Struthio camelus: one gene and its partner. The protein of the gene in region 1 interacts with the protein of each later gene in a pairwise test. Links are inferred from orthologs where the notes say so. Each region holds a gene or a part of one and is shown in the gene's direction. Other genes may lie near its edges.

What was found.
Region 2: the proteins of DBNL (region 1) and SH3BP2 interact in binary tests that used the Homo sapiens proteins (3 or more experiments, as listed by UniProt). The link is inferred for Struthio camelus from reciprocal best matches to the Homo sapiens genes DBNL and SH3BP2.

The regions. Positions count from the first base shown.
Region 1 is NC_090968.1:1,671,393-1,683,308, reverse strand, and holds the start of DBNL (drebrin-like protein), read left to right. Parts: upstream 1-7,366; 5' UTR 7,367-7,452; coding exon 7,453-7,535; intron 7,536-9,371; coding exon 9,372-9,427; intron 9,428-11,916. UniProt on the Homo sapiens protein: Adapter protein that binds F-actin and DNM1, and thereby plays a role in receptor-mediated endocytosis.
Region 2 is NC_090945.1:76,986,415-76,997,689, reverse strand, and holds the start of SH3BP2 (SH3 domain-binding protein 2), read left to right. Parts: upstream 1-5,810; 5' UTR 5,811-6,572; coding exon 6,573-6,682; intron 6,683-11,275. UniProt on the Homo sapiens protein: Binds differentially to the SH3 domains of certain proteins of signal transduction pathways. Binds to phosphatidylinositols; linking the hemopoietic tyrosine kinase fes to the cytoplasmic membrane in a phosphorylation dependent mechanism.

The DNA.
Region 1 (11,916 bases):
CCTATCTGGGTGTCCCCATCGTGCTGGGGTGGCCCTGGCCCACCCAAGGCATCCACATCCTATCTGGGTGTCCCCATCGTGCTGGGGTGTCCCTGGCCCGTCCAGGGTGTCCAAATCCTATCTGGGTGTCCCTGTCGTACTGGAGTGGTGCTGGCCCGTCCATGGCATCCACATCATGTCTGGGTGTCCCCGTCATGCTAGGGTGGCCCTAGCCCATCCAGGGTATCTGCATCACGTTTGGGTGTCCCTGTCGTGCTGGGGTGTCCCCGGCCTGTCCAGGGTGTCCCTATCCGGTCTGAGTGTCCCCGTTGTGCTGGGGTGTCCCCAGCCCGTCCAGGGTGTCTGCATCCTATCTGGGTGTCCCCGTCATGATGAGGTGGCCCCGGCCCGTCAAGGGTGTCCCTATCCTGTCTGAGTGTCCCTGTCGTGCTGGGGTGACCCTGGCCCATCCAGGGTGCCCCCAACCTATTTGGGTGCCCCCATCCCACCGGAGAGGCCCCAACCCATCCAGCGTGTCCCCATTGTGTTGCGGTATCCCCAGCCCATCCAGGGTGCCCCTGTCCTGCTAGGGTGCTCCTGGCCCATCCAGGGTGGACCACATCCTGCTGGGGTGTCCCCATCCTATCTAGGCAGCCCAACCCCATCCAGGGTGTCCTCACCCTGTCTGGGTGCTTCCATACTGCCCTGGTGCCCCTTGGCCATCCAGGGTGATCCCAACCAGCCAGGGTACTCCCTGCCTGTCCAGGGTGCCCCCATCCTGTGGGGGTGCTCTTATCCCACCTGGGTGCCCCCAGCCCAAACAGGGTTCCCCCATCCTAACTGGGTGTCCCCATCCTATCTGCATGCCCCCACCCCACCCAGGATGTCTCTATCCCATCTTGGGTGCTCCCATCTTATCTGGGTGTCCCATCCCACCAGGGTGTCCCCATCCACCCCAGGTGCCCTTCTCCCACCAGGGTGTCCCCCATGCCACCCAAGGTGTCCCCATCCCACTCAGGCTATCCCATCCCACTGGGGTGTCCTCTCCCACCTGGGTGCCTCCATCCTGCCCGGATATCCCCCGATCCTGCCCACCCTCATCTCATCGCCCGCATCCTGCCTGGCCGTGGCTTAGCGGGACGCATGGAGAGGGGTCCCCATCCCACCCCACGCTGGGTGCCTGGGTACCGAGAGGGGCACCCATGGGCCCAAAGCCCAGTGCCTCGTGGTGCTCTGAGCCAGCCTGGAGGTCGGACCCCTTTGGAAAACCCTCGTAAATCCAAGTTCCCTCCTTTTTCTCACAGCCCCAGCGCCACGTTCGCTTTAGCAGCTGCCCCCCGTTACCCATCCCGGGCTCTGCTCTCCGCGAAATCCGGGGCGGCCGATGCCACAGCCCAAACACGTCTCCCGCCAACCTTTATCGCCCTGCGGACTTGCCACTTCCCCATTTCGCCCGACACCGCTTTGCCCCGGGGTCGTGTTTCTCGCTTCCAAAACCTCTCCGGCTTAAAAAACCTATTTGGAAAATCGGCCCTAGCTGAGAGGACAGGACGGGCAGCATTTGGGCCGGGATAAGCCGGCCGTTTCGTCTTACTCCTCCCCGTCCTTGCAGGCCGGCAGCCCCTCGGTCCTCGCCACAAAGGTTCTTCAGTAGCTTTGCCTGAAATACTTCATGAAAAGGCTTTTGTAACATCTAAATAAATGGTGACCCCGGTCCCCCCTGCCCAAGTTTCTCAAGGAACGGCGAGAGGCAGCTGCAGGGTATCGTGCTGCCTGGGCCTTCCCAGCTCGCGCTCTTCCAGATGTTTTATTGCCCTGCTTTTAATTAACCTTTCCATCGAGTTGCTCAACGCCGAGCGAACATCTGCCAGCCCCCAGGTCGCCCTCGGCTCTGCGCTGAGGGGGTGGGTGCAGCGGGGAGAGCCCTCCAGCCAGGCGCGAGTGGGAGGCAGTGATTTCCCCGGGCACGAGTGGGAGGCAGTGATTTTCCTGGGCGTGAGTGGGAGGCAGTGATTTTCCTGGCGAATTCACCCCGGGGCCTCTCTCAGAGATCTCGCTGCGGGACTACTACGTTGCTTTTTTTTTTTTGTTTTAAAGAAAATAGTGAAAGCTTTATTTTCCCCAACATCTCTCACTGCTCCCACCGGCACCCCGGCTTGTGGCGACCCCTTGAAAGCCCACAAAGTGGGGCGCAGGTGCAGGAACGAGGTGGCGGTGACCGCAGCGCTGACACACTTAACAGGGCCAACACCGTCGTGGCTGCTGCCTTCACTCGGGTCTTTTTTTCTGTTTTTTTTTTTTTTTTTTTTGCCCCTGTTTGATTTGGGTGTTTTGTTTTCAGGCTGGGGCCAAGGGCCTCGCTCCTGGCCCTGCTATGAGCTCAAAGCGGGCCAGAAATTTGGGAGCCAGGGAGCGGGGGAGGCCGAAGGGGGGCTCTGGAATCGCCTTTATCGCTGGTTTTCCCGGGGGCAGCAGCATTCGACACACCTAACACCCTGCTTTGCCGCTGCGCAGCCCCAAACGAAACACAAGCAATTACCCAGGCTTACGCGCGCCCCTAAACGAGATCCCATCGACCAGGATTTGCCTGAGCATGTTCGAGTTGTCGAAGTTTTTCCCCTTCCATTTAGCAGCATCCCAAAGGCTCTGCGAGGATGAAACCGGAGCGGGATTTCACGTTTAACCGACGAGCCCTCCTCCGTGGGGACATCAAACTGCCACCCGAAACACCGGGGAGGGATAAGAAAAGCTACCGTAAATTAAAATAAATTAAAAACTTTGGAAATGCCCCTGGGGCAAGTGAGATGCCGCCCCTCCGCCTCCCCTCATCACCCGTCTTTTTGCAAAGATACTTTTGCAAAGCATCGATTTGCACGCCGTGCTCGGGGGACCGCGGTGTTGGGAATTGGCGCCCTGAGAGCAGCTGCCCCAGGATCCTTGGTCACCCCGGGACCCTCGGCCACCCTGGGACCCTAGGCCGTCCCAGGACCTTCAGCCATCCCAGGATCCTTGGCCATCCCAGGTCCTCAGTCACGCCAGGACCTCAGGCACCCTGGGACCCTTGGCTGCCCCAGGACCCTCAGCACCTAGGACCCTTGGCCACCCCAGGACCCTGGGCCACCTTGGGACCTTTGGCCACCCAAGGACCCTCAGCCGCATCAGGATCCTCAGCCACCCTGAGACCCTCAGTCACACCTGGACCTTCAGTCACCCCGGGACTCTCATCTGTCCTGGGATCCTTGGTCACACCAGGGTCCTTGGCCATCCTGGGACCCTCAGCCATCTGGGACCCTTGGCCACCCAGGGACTTTTGGCCACACCGAGACCCTTGGCCATCCTGGGGGTCTCAGCTACATTGGGACCCTCAGTTACCCCAGGACCTTCAGCTGCCCCAGGACCCTCGGCCACCCAAGGACCCTCAGTCACACCAGGACCCTCATCCACTCTGGGATCCTCAGCCATCCCGGGACCCTCGGCCACCCCACTCCTCCCCTCCCGGTCGCCACCCCACCTCCAGGCCTCGGCAGCTGGATTTGGGGGGTCCAAGGGGTCGCTTTGGCCCCATGGCGGGGTGGTGGTGACTGGAACGAGGAAGGAGGAGGCAGGGCTGGGGGCTGGGAGCAGCGGCCGCCTCGGGGCGCTTTTGGGGGGGGGGTGGGTGAGCACCCGAAATGACTATCTGCAAATGGCCCATTAGCGCAAGCCTGGAGGAGGGGGCACCGAGCCCTGCGGCCATGCAGGGCCTGGCACCGGCCGGCCGGCATTTACATCCCCGCTCCGGGAGGGCAGGATGCTCGGCTGCTGCGAGCCACCTCCCGCCGGCTTTCGGCTCCCCCCCCCACCCACCCCACCGTCCTGCTCCCGGCTTGGTTTTGGGGGAAAAAAGGCCGCAAAGCTGCTTGCAGAGGCAGAGCAGCGCTGTGATTTCTCCGGCGGCGGCATCCGAGCCGGCCCGAGCCCTCCGCACGCCGGCGAACGTCTCGCTACCCCCGAGGGAAATTTGAAGTTTCGCCCCCCCCTACCCCGGTTGCCAAGTAAACGGGCAGCCCGGCGCGCGTGTGCTGCAGATGGGGAAACCGAGGCACAGCGGGCGGCCGCGGCCCACGCGCCCCCCTGCCTGCGCTAGCGGGTAGCAGAAGAGGGGGCGTCCAACAAGCATCCAAAGCGCCGGCCGCGCGCCTTTCGCTCGGTGCATGTCACGACTTTCTCAGTTCTCAGCTCGGGGTTGGAGTAGGGGGAAACTTTCTCCCACCAGAGGCTGCAGCCTCCGGCTCGCGGGAAAAACGAGGCGGGAGGGAATCGGAGGACGCGCTGGCGGGGAGGGGGGGGCTCTCCTTCCCCGAGCCCCCCGTTTTGGGCAGGCCGGGGGCTTTGGCAGCGAGGCCCCCGCGCGCCGCGTCCCGCCGGTGGCGAGCGCTCCGGGCTGCTCGTTTTTCACCTCCTTTAATTACACCGGACTAAATCTCACCTGCCGGTGGCTCCGAAACCGCAGTGGCCGCCAGCCGGGGCAGGAGGCTGCCGCGCGTTAGGAATGTTAATCCCGGGTTTTTCTCTTTTTTTTTAAATATTTTTCCTCTTTTTTGTTTTTTGTTTTTTTTTTAGCTTGGCCAGCGGGGGAAAAAACACGTCTTTTCCTGTTAGCACCCGCGGCGAGCTTTCCCCGCGTGTCGCCTCGGCCCCGGAGCGGGCTGAAGCCCCCCTTCCCTTCCCTTCCCTTCCCGCAGCATCTTTTCTTTGGGTCGCTCTTTCCCTTCGACGGCGGCGGTGGGGGGGGGAAGTTGCACCCCAAAATGCTCAGTTTAAGCTCGAAAGCAGCTCAAGGCCGGCCTCCGAAACCCCCCACAAACCCCCCAGTTAGTTGTTGGGGGTCCGCGTCGAGGCGGCCGGCGGGCCGGGAACGGTGGGGCCACGCCGGGCTCCGAAAGCCCCCCGCAACCAAAATTCATAAAAATAATTAATCGGCCCCGACCCGTGCCGAGTTTAATTAGCTTTTTTGGGGCTTTTTTTTTGGGGGGGGGGCCCCCCCCCAAAAGGACGCCAGGGGAGCAGAGCCACCTGGCGGCGAGCGCGGAGAGGGCCCAAAGCCGTGTAAACAGGAGCCCGGCGCTGCCCCGGGACGGGCGCCGGGAGCGCAGGCGCGGGAAAAAAGCCAAAAAGTTGGAATCCTGTAAAAACATCAAGTATTTGGGCAAAGCGCAAGGCGACGGGGGGGGGGGGGGGGGTTGGAAAAGCTGCTCGACTTCCCGCCGCGGGCGCTCCGCTCGGCGCGGAGATTTACGGCTCGGTGACGCGGGGATTTTTGGCTGGCGAAAGGGGTTTTTTTGGGCGTTAAAGGCGGAAAAAAAAAAAAAAAAGGGGGGAATCAGAGCCGGGAAACAATGAGCCCCGGATGGCATCCTGAAAAAAAAAAAAAGAAAAACGCCCTGAGTCAGGCGGCAAAAGTGTAGCCGGGTGAAAAGAAACTGGGGGGGGGGAATTAGTTTTTTTGTTTTTTCCCGGCTTATTGTTGTTTTCAGCCGTGGAATCGGCAGCACGTTCTTCCCGCGCTGGAAGAAGGCGGCTGTATCCAAGCAGGGCGCGACGGAGCGACGGCCCGAGAGCGGGGATTGAAAAATCGGGCTTTTCCCCGCGGGTTTCGGCTCATCCCGGCTGGCCCCGGGGAGGGGGGAAAAAAACCCAAAATCATCGTTGGATTTTTCCAAACATTTGGATTTTTTCCTCCCCCCCCCTCCTCCTTTGGCTTTTCCCCGAAGATTTGGGAAACGTTCGCTGCGGTTGGGAAAGCGGCTCCGGAAGAAAGGGAAAAAAGAGCGTTAAAACCGTGAGCGCTGCGGCTGGAACGGCAACTTTTTGCCTGTTTTGGTTACTTTATTTTTGGCTTTTCCTTCCCCAATTTCCTTCCGCAATTTTGCCCCCCCCCCTCCCCCACAGTGTGCAAGGGATGCAGGATTTGGGGGGAAAAAGGGTTTTTTTGGTGACGGTGGAGCAAACTCTTCCCCCCCCCCCATAGGGATCCTCTGGGGCTTGGGGGCCCTTTGGGGTGAGGGAGGGGTTGGGGTGTCCCCAAGGGGTGTCGGTGTCCCCAGGGGACGCGGGGGCCATCCGGGCGGGGGGGGGGTCCGAGTGAGGGTGTGTGCGAGGGGGGTCCCCTGCACCGCACTGGGACAGGGTGTCCCCGAGGCTGTGCTGGAGCCCCCAAGGCCCCACTGGTGTCCCCAAAGCTGCACTGGTGTCCCCAGGGCCCCACTGGTGTCCCCAAGGCCCCACTGGTGTCCCCAGGGCCGTGCTGGGGCAGGGTGTCCCCAAGGCCCCACTGGTGTCCCCAGGGCCATGCTGTGGCAGGGTGTCCCCAGGGCCCCACTGGTGTCCCCAGGGCCGTGCTGGGGCAGAGGGTGTCCCCAGGGCCCCACTGGTATCCCCAAGGCCCCACTGGTGTCCCCAGGGCCCCACTGGTGTCCCCAGGGCCGTGCTGGGGCAGGGTGTCCCCAAGGCCGCCCTGGTGTCCCCAAGGCCCCACTGGTGTCCCCAGGGCCCCACTGGTGTCCCCAGGGCCGTGCTGGGGCAGGGTGTCCCCAAGGCCGCCCTGGTGTCCCCAAGGCCCCACTGGTGTCCCCAGGGCCGTGCTGGGGCAGGGTGTCCCCAGGGCCCCACTGGTGTCCCCAAGGCCCCACTGGTGTCCCCAGGGCCGTGCTGGGGCAGGGTGTCCCCAGGGCCCCACTGGTGTCCCCAAGGCCCCACTGGTGTCCCCAGGGCCGTGCTGGGGCAGGGTGTCCCCAGGGCCCCACTGGTGTCCCCAGGGCCCCACTGGTGTCCCCAGGGCCGTGCTGGGGCAGGGTGTCCCCAGGGCCCCACTGGTGTCCCCAGGGCCCCACTGGTGTCCCCAGGGCCGTGCTGGGGCAGGGTGTCCCCAGGGCCCCACTGGTGTCCCCAGGGCCCCACTGGTGTCCCCAGGGCCGTGCTGGGGCAGGGTGTCCCCAGGGCCCCACTGGTGTCCCCAGGGCCCCACTGGTGTCCCCAGGGCCGTGCTGGGGCAGGGTGTCCCCAGGGCCCCACTGGTGTCCCCAGGGCCCCACTGGTGTCCCCAGGGCCGTGCTGGGGCAGGGTGTCCCCAGGGCCCCACTGGTGTCCCCAGGGCCCCACTGGTGTCCCCCGAGGCCGCGCTGGCAGGGGGCGGCGGTGGCAGTGGCGGTGCGAGGCGGCCGGGAGGCGGGAGAGGGGGGGCGTGACGGGGGGCGTGACGGGGGGCGTGACGGTCGGAGTGGTGGGCGGGGCGGCGGCGGGGCGGGGCGGTTCGTGGGGGCGGGGCGGGGCGGTGAGGGGGCGGGGCGGCGAGGGGGGCGGGGAGGGGGGCGGGGCGGGGCGGCTCGGGGGCGGGGCGGCTCGGGGGGCGGGGCGGGGCGGCCCGTGGGGGCGGGGCGGGGGGCGGTGGTGCCGGTGCCGGTGGCGGGCGGGGGCGGAAGCGGCGGCGCTGCCATGGCGCTGAACCTCAGCAAGAACGGGCCGGCGCTGCAGGAGGCCTACGGGCGCGTGGTGGCGGCCGGCAGCCCCACCGACTGGTGAGGGCCCGGCCGGGCCGGGGGGGCCGCGGGGGGCCTCTGGGGCGGGGGGGGCCTGGGGTGGGGGGGATCGGGGGTGGGGGGGATGTGAGGGGATGTAGGGGGGTTCTGGGGTGTTGGGGGGTGTGGGGGTGTTGGGGGGATGGGGGGGTGTGGGGGGAGGAGGGATGTGGGGGTGTGGGGAGGGATGTGGGGTATGGGGGGTGTAGGGGGGATGAGGGGTGTTAGGGGGTGTGGGGAGGAGGGATGTGGGGGTGTGGGGGGAGGAGGGATGTGGGGGGGATGTGGGGGTGTGGGGGGAGGAAGGGTGTGGGGGTGTGGGGGGATGTGGGGGTGTGGGGGGTTCTGGGGTGTTGGGATGTGAGGGTGTGGGGGGAGGAGGGATGTGGGGGGGATGTGGGGGTGTAGGGGGAGGAGGGGTGTTAGGGGGGATGTGGGGAGTGTAGGTGGGGGATGAAGGTTACAGGGGTGTGGGGGGGATGTGGGGTGGAGGGATATGGGGGTGTAGGGGGGATGAGGGATGTGGGGTTGTGGGGGGGGATGTGGGGTGGGGGGATACGGGGGTGTAGGGGGATGAGGGATGTGGGGGTGTGGGGGGGGATGTGGGGTGGGGGGATACGGGGGTGTAGGGGGGATGTGGGGTGGGGGGATATGGGGGTGTAGGGGGGATGAGGGATGTGGGGATGTGGGGTGGGGGGATACGGGGGTGTAGGGGGGATGAGGGATGTGGGGGTGTGGGGGGTATGTGGGGTGGGGGGATATGGGGGTGTAGGGGGGATGAGGGATGTGGGGATGTGGGGATGTGGGGTGGGGGGATATGGGGGTGTAGGGGGATGAGGGATGGGGGGATGTGGGGGGATGTGGGGTGGGGGATACGGGGGTGTAGGGGGATGAGGGATGTGGGGGTGTGGGGGGTATGTGGGGTGGGGGGATATGGGGGTGTAGGGGGGATGAGGGATGTGGGGATGTGGGGATGTGGGGTGGGGGGATATGGGGGTGTAGGGGGATGAGGGATGGGGGGATGTGGGGGGATGTGGGGTGGGGGATACGGGGGTGTAGGGGGATGAGGGATGTGGGGGTGTGGGGGGGATGTGGGGTGGGGGGATACGGGGGTGTAGGGGGGATGTGGGGTGGGGGGATATGGGGGTGTAGGGGGGATGAGGGATGTGGGGATGTGGGGTGGGGGGATACGGGGGTGTAGGGGGGATGAGGGATGTGGGGGTGTGGGGGGTATGTGGGGTGGGGGGATATGGGGGTGTAGGGGGGATGAGGGATGTGGGGGTGTGGGGGGGATGTGGGTTGGGGGGATACGGGGGTGTAGGGGGATGAGGGATGTGGGGGTGTGGGGGGGATGTGGGTTGGGGGGATACGGGGGTGTAGGGGGATGAGGGATGTGGGGGGGTGGGGGGTGTGTAGGGGGATCAGAGATGGGGGTGTGGGGGGATGTGGGGGTGTAGGGGGCTGAGGCGTCTGAGGGTGTTGGGGGTCATGTGGGGGCTCTAGGAGGCTTGGGGCGAGGGGGTGTCTGCGGCTGGGTGAACAGGGGAGAGGGGGGGTTGTGGGGGTGTCGGGGGGTATCTTGAGGGATGCGGGCTGTATAAGGGGGTATATAGGGGGGATCGGGGATGCGGGGGGGGCCTAGGGGGACGGGGGGGGCGGTGGTGGGGGCGCTTAGGGGAGATGAGGCGCGTGGCTTGGGGGGCTGCGCGGGGTATGGCCCGGGGGGGCGGGGGGGCTCCGAAGCGGGCTGGCTTGGCGGGCGGCGCTGCCCCGAGGACCTCCGAGAGGGGCCGACCGCTTTGACGAAACCTCTCCCCTCCGGCTTTTTCATCTTAGGGCCCTGTTTACGTACGAAGGCAACAGCAATGATCTGCGAGTGGCTGGCTCGGGAGGTGAGCGTGGGTTTTTTTTGGGGGGGGGGGGGGGGGCGGAGAGGGAAGGCCGGCGGCCCCGGCGGCCCCGGCGGCGCGGGTTGGATTTGGGAAGGGCTTGCCTCGCCGAGCTCACGCGCTCTGGCTGGCGTCGCCGCTCTCGGCCCTTCTGGTGGCGTCCGGCGTCCGCCTGGAACAGCTCCAGCGACGGGGAGCTGCGCTCCCTCCCTCGCCCCGGCTCCCGAACGCAGGGTGTTTTCGGTACCGGCTCACCTCGGCGGCGGGACGGAGGGCGAGAGCCCGCGCGGGCGACTGCGGGGTGGTTTGCGCCCTTTTTTTTGAGGGCGGGGGGGGGGGGGGAAACGGGAACGGTCGCACGGTAGGAAAAGGGAGAAGAGCCCTGGGCGCGCGTTGAGAGCCGCGCGCGGTTCTTCCTTCTCCTCTCCTTCGTGTGCTGTTGTTTCCCTCTCTTCAGCGGCTGCTACGTTCAACCCTTGGACCTTCTTCCCCTTTTCGATCCTGACGTATTTGAGACCGCAAGCAGGGGTAACGCGACGTAAAAAAGCGCTGTAGGACGCTTCAAAGCTCGGCCTCTCGTGCTGGCAGTTTTAACTTGCTGCTGATAAAGCGTCTTTTCTTCCTTTCGTTCCCTGCTTTATGGGACGTTTTGCATCTGGTTGCTGGTTCGCACACAAATGCTTCTTAATGCGAAGCTAAAGCTGTTAAAAGGCGACGGACGCATCCAGGCGGGTTTCTTTGCTCTCTCGATTTGCATCCCTCAGCTCTGCTCCCTCGCTGCTTTCCTCTCTGAATTTGCAAGCGTTTTTCGCAGCCCACGAAGCGCTCGGCACCTTGAGAGCGCTTTGCTGGCTGACCGCAGCTAGGTGACGCGTTTCTGGGACCGATGCGGCTTCGCAGGGTCGAGCAAGCCAGGCGTGCCGTGGGGTTTTGCGTTAGGCCTTGCGTCCAGCGGAGGATGCTGTCAAACCGGGCCGGGGAGGCGTACCGCGAAGGCTGCCGAGGACGAGGACGGGACGGCCTGTGAACGCAGGCATGGCTGCGGATGATTAGATGTGGAATTGAAATGCAGGTTTGCTGTAGTCGAAGAGCGTGGAGGGAGAAATGTGTGGAAGAGGGCGATCTGAATTTAGGAACCGCGCAGGAAGTTAGGTGTTAACCGCTTAGCTCCCTGTCTTGGAGAGTTTTGTACGCCAATCAAAAGTACCTTAGGTTTTCGCGGGAAAACCTGCTCAGTTTGTGATCCAGGCGGTACGTAACTCCTGTGGACACCCACCCGTAGGTGCCAGTCTCCCTGGAGCCCTGACGTCTCTGCAGAGCTGTGCTCCTCCCTGCACTGCCCTTTATGTCCCTCCACCCTTCCGTGCCAGCCACAATCCCCGTTAAACATTGACATAGCAAACAGGCAAACGTGCTGGCGGGTAGCCCTGGGGCCCTTGGAAAGCCTGCCTCCGTAGCAAGGGTTTCCATCGGCCGACCAGCTCGAGTCTTTCAGGCGTACGCTTTTCTGTCGGGCTCGGGCTTGGAAACCACTGTGCCAAATTTAGAGACAAAGCGTAAATATTTAATTGTGGAGGAGAAAAAGATCTCTGGTCCTGCTGCAGTGCAGATCTAAACAGTCTCGACCGTGAAATTGCTACCAGTGTTTGATGGCAAGCGAGAGTTTGTTTTCTGTTTTTTTTAGGGGTCAGACAGACCAGTGTTGTAGGAGGAATCTTTGTGGGAATTTTTTTGAAATGAGAGCACATGTTTTTGCGTTTTTCCTCCTTTTCTGCTAGCTTTTTTGGCATACGGTTTTAGAGGGAGTGATGCTGTGGTTAATGGTGCAATGTAGCACTTTCCATCTGGGCCTTTGCACTCGCCCATCTTGCTCAACCTCTGCGCCGAGACTTTCAAAACTCCATCTCTGTGCAGAGGTAGGTTTTTCTTTTTCTGTCCCCAAGCTTGTAGCTGGGAGGAGACCTCCTTGCAATGAGGCTTTGCTTGGAAGGACCCTGCGGGCTTAAGGGCAGTGAGAAAAGCGCGAGGGCAGGAGTGGTACTAACTCATACCGTTGGTGAGCGGGAACTTGCACTGCCCCAGCGCAGTGCAGCGTCTCTGTTTCGTGTCAACTTCCCGTTTTACGAAGTAGCGCTCGTCTCAGCCTCTGTGGGCCTTATAAGGTGTGCTGTGAACAAGACAGCTCTCGGGCGTAGCTAGTTCCTCTGCAGCTTCTTGAGACGTCGCTGATCCTGCTGAGATCAGTAGCAGGACTCCCATTGAGCTTTTTTCTCATGGTGGAGGCGCTCACTGTAAGATCTTGCCGTGTGATTTCATGTAAGAACTTGTGGGCAGAGTTTACAGCCGTCTACTCTGGCTTTGATCGGCGCATTAACGTCTCTAATTAGCCTGGAACACATGACTACCTTCTTTCCTTTTGTATCTCTTCACTTGACTCGCTGTTATGGACCCGGGATGTTTCAGTATGCGTAGGTGTGCTTGTAGCAGTCGAG
Region 2 (11,275 bases), on another chromosome or scaffold:
AAGTATGAGCTTAGAAAGATTATTCTTTTCAATGAGTGGTTTCTTTTTAAGTATATACCCAAGCGATGAAGTAAATTATAACCTTAAATCTGGGTTATTGTAGTCTATGCTCCTACCTGTTTCAGTCCTTTGATTTAGCTGTTTGGGTGGTGGGAGATAGGAGTGGTAAAATTTTTGAGGCTTATGACATACTTTAGAGAAGTTCATATCATGATTTAAAAGAGAACAATAATTGGAATCAGCATAAAGAAACTTTGTTTCTGGTACAGCTTCTTGGTTATGTGAGCCTTTGGGCACAGTACTCATCCTCACACTTTAATTAGTTTTTGGTAAATATTTTCTTCCTGCCCTTTTCTCCGTCTAGGCTTCAAAGCTCTTGGAGGTGGGGACTGTCCATTAGCAGCATAGGTTGGTTGAGGTTTCTAATTCTGTAAAGTTACACTTTTATGCTTATTAGCTTAATTTTAAATTTTAGTTCCTAGTCAGAGTTTCCAAGTGTGAAAATAACAATCTCTGAGATGCTTCACTGTGTCGTTAGTTAAAAACTAGCACCCTCTACTATGTTGTACGGCAGTAAAATGGAAAGGAAGTGTCTTTGCAGTTATGCTTTTGTCTTTAAATAGTATCACATGGTGTCTTTACAAGCAAAATAAAAATAGAAAATGTTTTGTCTCATTTTGTTTTTCCAGGGTCTGACAGAAGTTGGGCTTCCTCCTTGGTGCTGGTTGCAGAGCCATTGGCCTGCAGAGGTAAATTAAAAATAATCTTACTGCACACCACCAGAAGAGGGACTCACATGTGTGAAGGGTTGGTGTATGACGTGATCAAGCGCTTCCTGTAAAGGGAGGCTTGTTGAATCCACTTAGCAGTCAATTAGTAACTTCTTATTGGGCCCAACAAGAGTTCATAAATCTACTCATTTCACTTTTTTTGTGATGGATATTCAAAAAGACTGTTTCTTGATTAGCTTAACTTGGGGGTGTGTGAGGGTTGTGTTTTGTGTGGGGGTGTATGGTTTTTTTTTTTTTAATAGGCTATTCCAGGGATCCTTCAAAATTGCTTGCATTCATTTATTTTTCTGTTGACTTACATGTACTCATATGAAATATTCTCTTTAACTGACAACGTTAGTCCTGGACCTAAGCTTTGTTTAAAGCTTACAAAAGCACTGTATACATACAACGGTAGAAAATGATGAACGTAAGTGTGGGTCCCAGCCCCTTCCCCCACCCCAGACTTTCGATGTTCTTTAGATTGATTTAAATAACATTCTAAAAAAAGAAGACAAAAATATTTCCCTGCATCAGACTTAACTCTCTATAGAGAGACCCCTTTGTGTAAATGCGTGGGTCAGATACACTTTAAAATCAGCCCTGCATATTTGGCTCTCCCTTGTAAACCAATAAACTTAAAAAGGTCTCTATTTTGGTGTTCCACTAACTAAAGCTAGATGGTCTGCTAGCTTAAATACTGAAAGATGTTTGGACAGGTAAGCAGAACTTGTTTTGCAGTCCAAGACTGGTTCCTAAATCATTGATGACAGAGTACACTGGTGATGGAATTGTATGCAGTTCATCACAAACTAGCCTAGCAATGAAGTTGTTTCAACTGCGTTATCTTTGAGAAGAAAACTTCTGGCAAGGAAATAACTATTTGTGGAAACTCCTGCTTTCACTGTCTATGTATATTTGTGGAAACTCCGTTTGCAGCTGTCTGCAGTACAACTGTGTGCAGGAGTAGGACTTTGGCAATCACACTGGCAGTTCTGTTCAATTACATGATTTGTAACTCTGTTCTTGTTTAAATTGTGCTACAAACACTTGTGAGAGATGTCATAACCATAATCATGGAAGCACTTACCTTGCAGTCTGCTTGACAAGACCCTTACGTACAGGAAATTGTTACAAGGAACAAAGAACCTGTCCATCTGGTTTGAATGCTATATGAGAGTGGAAGTCTTATCTTGATAATGTGTCTTCAAGTTTATTTTAAGAAATATGATAAGCATGCTGCAAAAACGTTCAAGAACTTGCCTTTCATTTTAAGTATTTTAAAAACTTGTTTTCAACAGATTTGAAATCTTGTAATTAAATTAAGCCTTCTTTAAGTAGTGAGGTACTCTGGGTGGAATTGTATGCACCAAAGTTTGTTTTTTGTGGTGCTGTGAACTCCTGAGTCTTGTAATAGAGGACACAAAAAACGTACTACTACTCCCCTTGCCAGCAAGTGTGAGGTAGATTCATCTGGAATAGATGCATTGTATAATTCTTCTTGCTCTAAAGTCCTGGCTTAATGTGTCTCAAACTTGCTTATTTTGAGAATTGGAATGGAAAAATTGCACTGTTTGGAGGGCTTGTCTGCGTGACGCAACTTCACCTGTTCTGTTGGCACAGTCTGAGTGGGGTTGGCTGTGCTTGCTCTTCTGTAGGTTTGAGGGGCTTTTTGATTCAGTATAAAACCCTTAAATTAACTAGAAAAAGCTACTTATAATAAAATTGCCAGCAAGAAGATTATGCCGGGATAACTTTACTGATTTTAATTCAGTCCTTATTTATGTCAGTATGACATCTTAGGTTATTTTTCAGGGCTGGCTGTTACAAGAGAATCTGTTGAACAGTAATGTTGTATTGAGAGTTTGCAGACGGTTCCTCTCTTCCGGTTGCGGAGTCTAATCCCTTTTATACAGGCTATGCCTGCACAGTAAAGTACTTTGTGGCAGTACTTTGGTCTAGAGGCAGCTGAGCAATGTACGACACGAAGTATATCCCCAAATCAGTGTCAATACATTGTCTTCTAGGACCTGTGTCAAGCTGTTTGGTGAAACAACCAAAAGAAAATTACAGCTTTGTTTTAAAATACTTGAGCTCTTTTTCTTAAGTATGGTATCTTTTTGGCCGACTAGTGCTGCCTGCCTCTTCTGAAGACCCAAGTCAACAATATGCCTATACGTGTTCGTAGCTTCGCAGCAGCAGGGTATAAATAGAGACTGAAGTTTTCGACCTAAAACGTTTCTGGGTTTTGAATTGGATATGTGTTACCAAAGCTTCAGCTACTAGGTTTTTGGGGTGGGGTTTTTTTTTTTTTTTCAAGCTCTTCCTTAGTAAGCAGAGTGAGGGAATGGCAGCTGAAGTTTACAGAATTTGAGCTCATTTGGCACAGAGAGAGGATTTCTGGTAGTTTTGGCCTCATTCCATTCCTTCATTATTAATTTTTTTTTTTTACTGTTATTCTGCAGGTCAGCCATCAGAAGCGTTTCTGATGTGTGGTTATTCCTGTTTTCACAGGACTGCCTTACCTAACACATGAAGGATTCATGTGAGTAACTTCCACTTTTTCTTTTAGGTTCCGCAGTTGCAGAGCGTACTGTTTGCAAATATATCGTTTCTCGATATACTGGATGTGTCTTCCACTGATCTAGAAGCTTGGTATGAAACAAGTTTGGTAGAATTAGTAAAACAATAAGACTCAATCTATTTCTGATTCACAGAATCACAGAAAGGTTTAGGTTGGAAGGGACCTCTGGAGATCATCTCAAGCAGGGTCCTCTAGAGCGTGTTTCCCAGGATCGCGTCCAGAGGGGTTTTGAATATCTCCAGGGAAGGAGACTCCACTACCTCTCTGGGCAACCTGGTCCAATGCTCAGTCACCCTCACAGTCAAGAAGTTTTTCCTCAGGTTCAGAATGAACTTCCTGTGTTTCAGTTTATGCCCGTTGCCTCTTGTCCTGTCGCTGGGCACCACGACAGTTCATCAAAGCCAGTAGAATTGTAACAAATTTTTGCCTTGTTTTATATATTTCTGTAAAAGACTGGTGTAGTATGTATGATCTCTAGTGTTACTCTTGGTGGAACCTGACTGCTAAGCTGACAACTTGCTGTGGCTGCAGAAAAGTGGATTTTGTTACTTTCTTTTCTTTCTTCTTTTTTTTTTTTTTTTTTTTTTTTTTGCTGCTGGGACTTTCAGTCTGCTTTTACTCGCAGTCCATTCTTGCAGTTTCCTGTAAATTGGTCAGTAAGAGGAAGCTCTCAGTGCTGCAGAGACAGCTCAGCCCTGCAACTACACTAGTGAATTTGTACTGGTAAGGACAGCGTAGTGTTGCATGTGTTTTACTGCTCTAGCTTTACAGAAGCTTGAAGTAAGTTGCATTGTTTTTGGGGAGCAAGAGGAGTTTGTAATGATGGCAGATACGATTGACAGTCTTCCTCAGGCAGTGGTCCTGCTGCAGTGAAATTCAAATGTCAGTTGATTTTTTTTTTTTTTTTGATGTTTTGACTCTGCCCATTAAGGCTATCTGAATTAAAAATGTCATAGTGTTAAAGAAATGAAGTTCCTCCTTTTGGGTGAAATCTTCCCTGGGCTAGGTTGGTGGAAGGCCTTCTGCCTATAGATTTTGCAGGGACAAATGCATATTAATGGTGTGAAAGCGACATGCCTGGCTGTTTTGCAAAAATAAATTTCACATTATGAAGGAGGATATATTTCTCTTTCACTTCTGTAACAGACAAGTTAATCAAGGACATAAAGATTTCATGTCTATTCAACCTCTTTATCTGTGGTTGAAACACAACTGTTCTGATTAATGACCAGTCTAGAAAGTTAAGCCTGTGTGTTTTTTTTCTTTTTTTGTTCAATATTCTTTCAAAACTGTGGACCCTATAAACTTTTTTGTTCCTCACTGGAACACCAGCTTGTATTGTGTAAAATGTCTGTTATTCTGACTCTACGTTCTTCCTCTATGATCGTCTTGACAGGGTTGGAAATCACCAGAAAAATCAAAAGGGGATCTGGGAACTTGAAATGAACAGTGTGGCTCTGAGTGCCTAAGAGAGGAAAGGGAGAGGAGAGCAGCAGAAAGATCAGAGTCGAAAAGCAGTACTTCGGGAATGTGTGTTGGATAAAGTGAGACTATGGAGTCCAAACAGCATCAAATTAAAGTTGCGCAGTTTGAAGGGGAAAACTAAGGCATAGGTATGTTAGATCTGAAAATGGAAAGAGGAGCAGTGTATGCAATTCGGGAGAAAATGAACTCAAATACTGTCATTTTAATCATAGTTTTTCACTGAGGTGGAGATAAAGGTGGCAAAGATGGTAATGCAAGCTTTGAAGAGCATGCTTAGATAGCAGAGAACTCTTAGAGTATAGCAGAGAGCTAGGGGAAGAAAGATTGCTTTAAACCATTGTACGTGAACGCTTAAAGTTTAAATGGGTGACTTATATTGTAGTAGTTAAACAACTGAATTTAATGCACAAACTACAGCTCTACAGCTTTTCTGTTTAAGAAATCTGTTAATTAACCACTGAGACAACTGGATATTTATTTATTTATTTGTTTATTTAATATCTTCTAAATATTTTTCAGGATTTTGTCTTGATATGCTATTGTTTCTGGCTAGCAACAGGTGATGCTTAGTCTCCTTGCCCTTCCAATATTCCCTGGTTATGGAAGGAGTGCCAATGGGTATCCCAAGGTGAAGAAGATAGAGAATTGCTTTTCTACCCTATATATATGGCTAGTATGTGAAATGTTGTCTTCTTCTCTCCTTTGACTGCTGGGTACTTTACAGAAACAAAAGAATTTGTACAGAGACTTCTTCCTTCCCATTTTGGAATAGGGATTCATGCCATTTTTCCCAAAATACATGAAGTAAGCTTTATTCAGTGTATCAATCTATATAGGTTTTGTCCATCATTCTGACATAGGCTAGCTTTTTTCCCTTATCTGAACTTCTTAGCCGTGTGTTGGTTAATTCCAGACAGCCAGTGAAGTATTCAGATCTTTTTATTTTAAGAACTCTGGATGAATACTATTATAAATGTAAAACAATGGCATTTGTTTATCATCAGTTGGTGGCACTTGCCTGTAGAATTGTTCCCTTTAACTCATGGTCTCCTTGGGTTAGATTTTTATTGTGTTTGGTGGTTTGAATAGTGTCAAACGTACTGACGGTACTTACTACAAACTGTGTATATCCTGCATAATCTTTCAAAGTGGCCATTCTTAATATTTTGAGTTGGAGAGAAAGAAAAGCTCTAGTGATAGTGAAAAAGAGATGAAATACTCACCATATTTCTGTGTTGTAGGGCAGGTGCTGAAGCGCTTGGCGCTCTTCAGAAGCACCAGGCAATTTTTCTGAACTGTGCCTCTGCTGGTCTGAGAGCCTGAGTGCACTGTAAGAAAAGTGACTACTTTTTTTCCCCCCCCTCCCCTCTCCCGTGGGAAAGTGGTTGATTGAAAGATGAATAGGAAGCAACTTGAGCACTGGAAAATCCCCTCTGCAGTTTGGCTCACTGTCTGACAGAAGTTGAGATATACATGGCTTGATTTACAACCTCTCTGGGAGATTGGGAAATCTGACAAAGACAGTGCTGCCCACTAGCACTGGGGGAAACAGGAAGTAACAAAGGAAACAAGTCATTGCCTAGGCGTCCCCTTTGGCCACACTGCAGTGCAGATGCACGAGCAGTTGGGGCAGGGTTTCTTTTCCTTTTGTGTTGAGTGTACAGCAGCCGTCGCAGTCACACATTGAGCCTTATTATACACAGAATTGGGAGCAGCGCAGAGATGCCCCTCTCATGTCCGAGAGGGGTCATAAGTTATTAATGGCTTTGTTATTGCAAAGGAAGCGATCGTTTGGTGAAACTGTCAGCAGGAAAACTATGTGTCGATCAAGCATGGTCACCAGGTTAGTGCATGTCTATCTGTGGCTTGTATTTCTGTGTTCTTTCCTCTTTTAGGTGGAGAGCAGACTAAAGCTAAGAGTAGAATATTGTATTTGGGAAAAATATTCTTTACCCTTGAATTTTCTACATTAATTATTAGAGGGGGAAGAGATGAGAAGAGTTGGAACTGCTTGCCTGAAAAGAAAAGCAAGCTGAAGCAAGCTGAAGTGTGTGCCTCAGTCAGGCTTAGTTCTCTGTCCCCTTTGTCCTGTAAGATCTATTTGACTTCCCAGTGTTTGTGCTATGCTATTAATCCTTCTGAGAGACCATTGTGAAAGGAGCTGTTAGAAGTATTAGGAAATGGAACGTGTAACCCCCAAAAGTGGGAGAAATACGGATCAGCATTTCAGAAATACTGAAAAATATTTAATAAATGAAGAATAATCCTGCAGACATTTCAGGACTAGAAAAGAGTTTTGAGAACAGATGGTAAATGTGTAAACTGTTGAACTGAGAACTACTTTTTGTTCAGTCTTAATGAGAGCACACTGGGGAAACTTTTATAGTTCTACTATACACGTAATGCTACTTCAGTTTTGGCTAAATCATTTGCAGAGACTGAAACTTAAATCTCCCTCTGCAAGGTATGTGGAATGCATTCGTTTTCATAAATTCTATGTGCATTCAGAAGCAAACATCTTGCTGTGCTAGGTTTTACTTTCCAAATAGAATCTAGAGGCTTTTATAGAGTTTAGAAAGTCCTTAGATTTAATTTACATTAAAATAGCTTGCGATGAATTTGGATCAGATTCAATTTTTGTAATGCAGTTTTGGAGTCTAGTTTTTTTTGTTTATTTTTCAGCATGACCAGGCTCCAGGATAGACTGTAAATATTATTATGACAAGTGAGGACTTTTAACGCAGCTTTTGGCAGCGGTAGTTTCAGAGATGAGAGTAATGTGTTTTTACGCCTGTATGCTGCAAGATGTGGAGCTCATCACATCTGCTGTATGTTACACTTGAGTTCAGGAAGAACTGAGGACTCATGGCTCTTTCAGGATGCAATCCTTAGTTGAATCAGCCTGTATTTGCTTTAATTTGGCTGAATGCTGATAGCTCTTAAGGCCAAGAGGGGTGAGTGTTCTTCCGTAATGTATTCCAGATTTAATGTGGTAGAACTTTATTTTTACTTTGTTTGTTTGCTTGTTTTACTTTTTTAGGGTTTTTTAGCCTGTGAAATTATACCTCATACTCAAATCTAGCTATTTTCTATGCATTGACTGAGGGGATAGGTTGAAAATTACTTCATAGATGTGTACGTTTGCACATTATACAGTAACAGCAGCCTGTACGGTGTTTGCGGTTGTGTTTGATAACAGTGTCATTATGATTCAGAAGAAACTTACAAAGCAGCACGGCCTTATCAAGGGTACACCATGAAGTGCATAAGTTCACCTTTCTTCATGCCGTTGTGAGTTTCATGATACAGATGCCCTTCTTTGTGCTAAAATGAAGGGCACTTTATTTTGATAATGTCTAAGAAAGGTATATTCAAATGATAGACAGGGTTGGACTGACTTGATGCATTAACTGTGCACTGCAAACTGTTTTGGTTTTCAGTCTGGCGGACTGAAAACCAACATACATACGTTTGCAGCCGGCAAACATACACTTGCATGTATGAAGCAGGTACAACAGTACTTGCATTAAGTGCTGTATCTTGCTGGAGAGCAGTGTAACTGCACTGTTCCGTCTTTCAAAAAACGGTTGAAGCAGTTCCTATAAAGTGCTGTTCCAGTGTTTCTCCTACTATACTCAAAAGCCTATGATCTCCCTCAAATGGTCACAGGGATCATAAGATCACTGTCTGCTGTAATTCTCTTGTGGCTCAGAGGTCTAGTTCAGTGCCATTTCAGTGAGGAAGGAGGTTGGTTTAATAGCCACTTGTAATGGGTTTTGGGACGTGATGAAGACTTAGTCTAAAAATATGTATCTATTTCCTTGGTGACAGGAGTGGGAAGGAGCATGTGTGTGGCTATTACTAGAAACTAGCACAACACAAAGCACAAGTGTTGTTGCATTGTAGTTTCTAACAGGACAGGCATCAGCAAGTGAGCGTGGCTTGTCCTTGATGGCACTTGGTGGACCCTTTCTATTAACTTCATTGTTAACACAATGGAAGTGCAATTAAGTCAATGTAGTGCAAGACGGTAACTACATAAAAACCACATCTTGGAAATATCTTTCTGCTCTTAATGATCATAGAGCTAATAGGCTCTACAGTGACTTTAGTCACTTGCTATTGAGGGTACCTGAGTATTGGTCTGTTCTTCGTGCAATGGATTTCAAAAATAAGAAAAAGAATATCAGGAGTGGAAGGAACCACTTCATGGAGCTAAATGCAACCATATCATGGATGCTAAGTCCAGAAAAATCTATAAGAGCATCTTTTTTTTTTTTTTTTTTCCTTTCTCCACCCCTGCAATAAACATCCTATAGTTAGGTTGTTTTGATAGCTGTGTCCCTGTAACATGATGCAAAATAGCATCTAGTGTTCTTTGAAGATTGTTTTGCACTGTCAAGAAAAGTGAAAATCTGTTTATGACCAGACTAAAAATACTTAGCTGGATTTTAGAAGCCTAATTCAAACACTTTGACCCAGAATACTAAAGTCTTCCCTATGTGTCTTTAGTTTTCACCTGAAAGTGCTTGAGGAGCCTGCAGATATTGGGGGTGGTCTAAGCCCTGGTGAGGTCCAGCGAATAGGCACAGCAGCCTGTAAACCCATTGAAAAGCCTGGTATATTAGGTGGTCCCTTAAGCTTATCTCATACAAACTTGACCGAGTTCAGCCACGTGTCCTTTCATTCAGTTGGCTAGGATGGGGAATTTCTGAGGTTTGGTGTCTGTTATCATAACTGTTTTATAGTAGGAAGTCAAAAAAAGGAAATGATCGTGAATAGAGGAATAGGAACCTGATACTCTACCATTCTTCCTCCTAAGTTAAATCATAGTCATCATACTGTAGAACTGGATTCCTTGCTTGTTCCTCTGCTTCCATGATACCCTCCCCCCTGCAACGTTCTGGCTCTTCTGGGAGAAGAGGAAAGTGCCCTATCCACAAGCTTTTGAGCAACTAGTCTAACTACTGTATTGCCACGTAGAAGGCCACCATGACTTAATCAAATATTTGTTTTCAATATTTACCTAGGGAGATTTGGTTGGATTATCAGGGATACTCCTGTTGCCCAGTGTTTTTCATTGGCTTGGTAGAAATTTTAGCTTGCTAGTTATTTTGGATAACTGCTCTGAGACATTGAACTCTCTCTTTTTCTGATACGTATTTGACTTAAGTACATAACACTGGGAGTATAGTTTCATTCTAAAGGCCAGATGCTTAAGTCCTCTTGGTCAGTTCCTTGTGAAATAAGCGGACAAGATTTGAAGACTTATGCTGAGCTTGAAGCTGTTTGATAGCTTTGAGACTAATGCTAGAATTACACCAACGTAACTGAGATTAGAGTGCGTTTGACTGAATAAAAAGGTTCCACTTCTACTCAATTTTTTTCCTGAATGTAACTAGAAACAGATTGAAATCACTTAATTGTAAATTAATTTCAAATGTTTGAATGTTGAGGTGCTTGTTCTTAAAAGAAAAATCTTCATCCAGTAATTTCGTTTGCATTCGTAATTTTGAGGAAATCACTTAACAGTACTACGGTGTGGTTTGATGTCAGCAGCCAGCTGATGAACACTCTCTACTTCCGTCATTTTGACTTTTCTCAAGATTCTCAACCATCGTTTCTTTATCGGAAACTGCTTAACCGGTTTTATTTGCAGAGGAACTTTATTAGGTTGCCTCTTTCCGGCAGATGTCCCTAACCCTAAGCCTGAGGGTAATGACCGTTGCATGGGGAGATCATTCAGTTCATATACTTTTTTCTTCTGCATTATATGGTAGGGCTATACAGTTCTAAATACTTCTGTTGCCAGTTGAAGAAAGAAGAGTCTCTTCAGGATATAACAGACGGATAAAATTACTATTTAAGAGACTAATTTTCTTGGTAACGTGTAAAACAATAGCAGGAAGAGTGGTAGTTGCAAAGATGCTTAGTGCAGCATGGCATTAATAATTTATATACAAATTAAATGGCAGCCTGCAGCAGTCTGAGAGGAACTTGAATTGCACCGAGTGCTGTATCACATATGACATCCAGTATAGGGTTATATACTACATGGTTTCGTTTAGAGTAAAACGTGTAAATACGAGCAGTAAGTATTGCTGGATATTTCAGTTGCTTGAATCTAAATACTGCTTCCCTTACTATACCGAAAATTAAGTTTTGCGTACTTGTGTGACATACAACTTTGGAGAAGAAACTGATTTTCTTTCTCATCAGTCACCCGATAAGCCTGAGTGTTAAGATCTGGGCCATGTTTCTAATACAAATACTTAAATTGCATTTATTAAGCGTTCTCCCATTGTATCAACAACTGTCGATCATTCTTATGAGCCATATAAAAATAAATCGGGACTTTCTGCACCAAGGTTTTTTCATAGTTCGCAAACTTCCTGGAATCTATGAACACCCGTCTGTGCTACATACTTGACTGCTG